Cricetulus griseus: one gene and its partner. The protein of the gene in region 2 interacts with the protein of the main gene of each other region in a pairwise test. Links are inferred from orthologs where the notes say so. Each region holds a gene or a part of one and is shown on either strand. Other genes may lie near its edges.

Region 1 (3,655 bases), about 97 Mb from region 2:
CCCCGCCCAAACAAAACAAAATTCCAAACCCCTTCCCTCCTTCCTTCCCCAAGGACCCTGCTTATTTGCACAGCCTTACCTACGACGCCCACACGAATGTGGGTACGCACTTCCCCTAGGCGGCAATAATTCCCCAGGACCCTCATGAGGTTTTCAGCTCCAAAACAGGCTTTGCTTTTCAACAGATTCTCAGAAGCCTGGTCTACCGGAACTTTACACCGAGTCTGAAAATGAAGTATATTACAAAATGAGCATCAGGTGGGAGATACACTCTAAGGCCAAATTTCTAACCCGCAGTGGAATATTCAGAACCGCCCTGGGTTCACTAATCTCATAGGCTTCTGACAGCAACTACATCTCAGTTCTGCCTTGTTTCCAGTTGTTGTGCCTTTCTGTTTGTTTGTTTTTCGAGACAGGGTTTCTCTGTGTAACAGCTCTGGCTGTCCTGGAACTCACTCTGTAGACCACGCTGGCCTCAAACTCAGAGATCTTCCTGCCTCTGCCTCTGCCTCCCAAGTACTGGGATTAAGTTGTGTCTTTATGTCTACAATTTTCTCTGTTCCTTCTCTTGCCTCAACAACACACATGAGTTTTGCCTCCCACAACAGAAACATGAAGACAACCCAGCTTCAGGCAAGCTAGGTTTCATTTCTAGCTCTCTCACTCCCAGGACTATGAAGAAAAGCCTCTCTCTCTTCCTAGGGCCTTAGTGTCTCATATGCACAAAAGGGAAGCCTGACTTCTCCGCCTGTGCAGAGGGTACCTGGCCCAAAGCTGGCTGCTCACACAGGAGAAGGCCATCCCAAGCTCCCTACTTTTATTTTTGATGTGTGTGTAGGGGGGACCACAAAATTATAAGTTAACCATATTATGTTGGCAAGAGTATAGGGAAAAAGGTCCTCTTCACACATCCAGCTACCCAAGTGGGAGGAAGATTACTTGGCAGAGCTATTGTAGAGGATAATTTGTCCGTGTCTAAGAAAATATAGAAAGCATAAGGCTTATGTATGACACAGCCACACTATTACTCAGTACTCAGCCCACACCAATATTTGTCTACATGCCAAGGAGAGAAGTATAAGTGGATTAACATAAGCACTGCCTAAATAATAATAAAAACTGGAAAATAGGGACTCAGAGATAGTGTCTACATAGGCAAGATGCTCTGGGTTCCATTCTCAGAACTGCAAAAAAAAACAAAACAAAACTGAAAAACCTGTCCCCCAGAACCCAATTTATCTCCCCCAAAACAATTAATGTTACTCTAACATCTCAGTATTTTACAGGTATTCTATATTGATACCAATAGGAAATATTATGCCTTCTTTGGGTTTCTTTTTTTTTTTGGTTTTTGGAGACAGGGTTTCTCTGTGTAGCTTTGGAGCCTATCCTTGCACTCTCTCTGGAGACCAGGCTGGCTTCAAACTCACAGAGATTCGCCTGCGTCTGCCTCTCGAGTGCTGGTATTAAAGGCATACGCCACCAACGCCCGGCCCTATGGGTTTCTTTTTAAACATTATTTATTTACTAAAGTCATGGTGTTGGCACATGCATTTAATGCCAGCACTCAGGATATGCAGGAGGATCTCTGAGTTTGAGGCCAACCTTGTCTACAGAGTGAATTGGAGGATAGCCAATAAATATTCATTTATTTTTATGTGTATAAGTGTTTTGTTTGTATGTATGTCTGTGTACCATATCTGGAGAGGTCAGAAGAAAGTATCAAATCCCCCTGGAACTGGAGTTATAGATGGCCGCCATGTAGGTGCTGGGTACTGAACCTGGGTCCTCTGGAAGCAAATGCTCTTAACCACTGAGCCTACTATGCCTTGTTTTAAAGAGGGGGAAATGTTTTGAAGAGCTAAAAAGTAGTTAACTCCATTTCCCATATCTCCTATAGACAGTATATATTATTATATCCTCACAGCCAAAAAAGCATGCTTTCTGAAGGGCAATGATATAGGAAGAAGTAAAGGAAAATAAAAATTAACAAGTCACCCACTAGAGAAAATACCTCAAAGTGGAAAGCCCAATTCAAATCGTAAGACCTACAACCTTAACCCCAAACCACAATGAAAGAGGCTAGATACTCCTACTTCAAGCTTACCAAGTTTTTGACCTGATGCTGGGTGCTGGCCTTGAAAGCCACAGTTGGCAGCTCATTGCGAAGGTAATCCAGCCATTTTTCCACAATCTCCTTGGGAACCAGGTCTGGGAAAAACAGAAACAGATGGGACTTGTAAGAACATTACTTCTGTGGCTTCCCCTAAGCCATATACCCATGTCTAGGCCTACCTCCTACTAACAGATCGCTCCTCTTGCCCTAACTGTCCCTGCATGCTCCCCAGAATGGAGTCATAGAGAACAATCTGATCCACAGGACCAGTTGGCCCTCCCTAAGAAGGCTTACCCTCTTGAAGAAAATATGTAAAGAAGTAGTTTTGTCCCAGACATCCCCCTTCCAAGTCAATGTGCCCAAATACCTTATTCCCTTTCCTAATCATTCTAGGCTGGGCTAAGTGTCAAGAAAAAAAATCACCAAGAACAGTTATGATTTGTCAAATGTTGATTTGCACCAAGCTCTTCAGTAATTCTCACAATAAAGCTGTGAGACTGAGATGCCGTGCCCCTATTTACTATGAGAGAAATAGAAGTTGTCATGAGCAACATGATCTATCTGCTATCAAGAAGAAAATACCAAAGTACGATAAGACTAATACCTCAGTGAGTCCCAAGCCATGTGCTCTCTCTTGTCCAAATCTTTGTGTTCCGGTTTGTGGGGACAGGTCTCCAAGAATGACCAGCCACAGAACTGGCTCAAAATTGCAAGGAAAGGGGGCTGAAAGGCAAACAGGCTCAGACTCTACCCCCAAGCCATGCTACATTCTTTATGTGTCTGTGTGTGTACCAGACAATATTTCTGGCTTTGGGAATTTGAACAAGAATTCCTATCAATAGCAATTATGAATGCCGCTGATAGGTCTCAGTGCCTAATCTAAGCTAGCCTTAGCTTACCCTATTCCCTGCCTTACCCAATCCTTCCAAAACCTACCAATCTTATTCAAGACCAAGACCAGCTTCTTGTTGCCTTCTGCCCGAAGGACAGTCTCCTCCATCTGGAAACAGCGGCAGCCCAATGGGTCTCTAGCATCCAGGACTTCCAGAATCACATCAGAGTACTCTACCACCTGCAGGACAGAAAATACAGAGTAAGAAGCCTGAGAACAGACTGGGTAGTAGTCTCTGTTTCAGTCAGCAATAAACAGAAATGAAGAAATGAAAATGCACTGGGGTCCTCACCAAAGGGCTTTAAGAAACGGGTACCTGTTATGTATCTCAAGTCTATAATCCCAACACTTGTGATGAGACAAGAGGACTGCAAATAGTTCACGGCCAGCTTGGGATGCACACAGTGGATTCTAGGTTAGCCTAGACTAAAGAATAAGACCTTCTCTAAAAACAAAACAAACGAAGATAAAGGGAAGAAATGAATCCTACCTTACGGAACTCCTTGTAATAGGCCTTCCGTGTGGCCTCATCATCCAACTGAGGAAACATATTCAATTCCTGCAAAACTTCCTCCTAGAGGAGGAGAAAAAAGAGAGTAATAGTTTATAGAGGAGAAAGGGGCAAGCAGATGCAAAAAAAGGATGGA
Region 2 (2,459 bases):
AGAACTAACCAGGCTGTAAGAATGGCCCCTTCTAGGAGGGTTGGTGAACTGTCCAAATGAGAGTCTGAATAGATGTAGCCAACTCCATCATCTTCTTCCTGGTCCATATCTTGAAAAGTGGATGGCTGCAGATGAGATGCAGTGGGGGGTGGTGGTGGGGGGGGGTGAGGTGACAGGCATCCACTTCTGGCAGATGTAGATGGCGATCCATCAGAAGCCAGCGGCAGGAATGCAGGTGGTCTGACGAGTTCTAACACAGGCCTGGACAATGGCTGGAGCTCAAAACACAGTTCAGATTAGAAAGGTGCCCGGATTGGTTAAAATTGAACACTGTGAACCTCAGAGCCAGGCCCAGGCCCAACTCAAGCACTCGTAGCAGGTAATTGGCACAAAGACAAGCACTAAAAGGGATGAAGGAGCGAAGTGATTGGCAGGGAAGAGAATGGCAATGCAAAGGGGGGCACGGAGGCAGCAGGAGTAGCGGTGGGGGTAGGGAGGACGCAGCGTGCAGGGTCCTCCTCATGTAGGCCTAAGGGGGCTCGGGGCCTAGCAATCAACCGCTTCACAGTCGTCGTCATCATCATCATCATCATCTTCGTCGTCATACCAGCCAAAACACTGCTTCATCTCTTCAACAAACGCGCGATAATCACAGAGAATGGCGCTATCTGTCTGGATGTACGGCACCACCCAATCCTCGGCTTTCCCGGAGAGGAGGCTGATCAGGAATGCCACTTTCATGGCGTCGTTGCAGAAGCGGTCCTCATTCACAAGCATGTAGGACATCGTCTGCACAATAAACTCGGGGAGCCGGGCGTTCTCGCCATTAAACGGTGAGGGGAAGGGCACCGGACAGCTGGGCGGACGTACCTGGCGCAGCAGAATGGCCCGCTCACACACCAGCAGCCGCAGCTGTTTCATGAGCCGGTTGTTCTCGATGCACAGGTCGCGGTGTCGCACCAGCAGCGCGTGCAGAAGCAACACCAGCTCGTCCACCATGGTGACTCGCTTGGCAGGTCTCGGGCTCTCGGGCTCGGATCGGCTCCGCGGAGCTGCTCAAGGAGGCCGTAGAGGAAGTGCGTGTCCTCAGAGGAGTGCTGACCCTGGGCACTGCGCAGAGGGGGTCTAGCTGGTGGCGGAAGCTCCACCCACAAGGTCACTCTGGCAGCCAATGCGCCAGCGCACTGCGGTGAGAAAGGCGTGGCGGAGGGGAGTGCTGGTGGCGTGGGGGTGTGGCCAGGGTGGGACTGACGGACCGAGTGGACGTGGCCCAGGAGGAGGAAGGCGTGACCAAGGGAGCATCGCCCCGGGCCTCTGTCAATTCCCCCAGCCTGATGAAGAAACGCTGGGGGAGCCAAGCCTGCCACAGTGGAGGGCTGTGCGAGCATAGAAGCTCAGCACTCAGGGCTGGCCTGCTTCAGCTTAAACTTCTCTGCAGCCGACCTGTTCATCCAATACAGTGTTCCTCGGTGGGCCTGCAGCCATCAACATTTTTTTAGAGTAATGCTTTCTTAACACATTTCCTTGCTTGTTTAAATTTCACCCAGAGAAATAACACTGACACTGAGGGTCATACTGCGGGAGATCATTTGAGTTTAGAGACTTCAAGACTTGCAAGGGGTGCTTTCATTAAATACATAAGTAATTGTCAACAGGGGCTTCTCTTCAGTTGAGACAATTTCACCAAAAGATCTCCAAATCTGCACAGAGTATCCATTTGCCAACATTCTATCTTTGATTCTTTCCATATTCCTGTTATCAGTGCCTTTGTTCCTAAGTTATAAACTGTGATGAGCTCTGTAAAATAACTTTGTCTGCCTATTTTAAACGTCATTAGTTGTCGATAACTAAGTTTGGTCCAGGATCCTTGAGCTGATAGCTATTGGGTCTGCTTTTTAAAATACATCTCCACATTCAGTCACTTCCGGGCATCTCTGCTACCTCGATCCCAGCCTTCTTTCACGGTCTGGTCTGCTACATCTAATCCCTTAGCTGTCATTCTTCCCCTTTTCTGCATATTCTCTAGAATAGCCTCAGAACACTTTTAGAATGTGAGTTAGAGCCTTTCACTCCCCATTTCGACGTTCTCCAGCAGTTTTTCCCTCTCTGCTGCTCTGAATAAAAAGCAAACCCTTGGTCGTAACATACAAGGACCTCCTTCTGCATGCCCTTTTTACATGACCTCCTGTTGTCCTAATCTCTGCCTCGCCTGCTAATTCCTGCACACATCAAGCAGATCTCGCCTAATCTCAGAGCCTTTGTCCCTTCTAGCTATCTTTCCCCCTTTACTTGCCTACCTCATTTTATACTACTTTGAGAAAGGGCTTCCCAAACTGTCTCATCTATATGTGAATTGTCTGTCGGCATGTACAGCTCCAACCCTTACTTCACTTACCTACGTAGTATTTATTATATTAAATATCATCAGGTGCGTCCCCTTTGAAATGTCAGTCAGTGCA

The links.
Region 1: the proteins of protein LDOC1-like (region 2) and Gnl3l interact in binary tests that used the Homo sapiens proteins (3 or more experiments, as listed by UniProt). The two-hybrid records come from large-scale screens. The link is inferred for Cricetulus griseus from reciprocal best matches to the Homo sapiens genes LDOC1 and GNL3L.

What each region holds. Positions count from the first base shown.
Region 1 is NC_048604.1:108,472,938-108,476,592, reverse strand, and holds part of Gnl3l (guanine nucleotide-binding protein-like 3-like protein), read right to left. Parts: intron 3,583-3,655; coding exon 3,499-3,582; intron 3,189-3,498; coding exon 3,053-3,188; intron 2,212-3,052; coding exon 2,108-2,211; intron 225-2,107; coding exon 80-224; intron 1-79.
Region 2 is NC_048604.1:11,336,535-11,338,993, forward strand, and holds protein LDOC1-like, read right to left. Parts: upstream 1,000-2,459; coding exon 547-999; downstream 1-546. UniProt on the Homo sapiens protein: May have an important role in the development and/or progression of some cancers.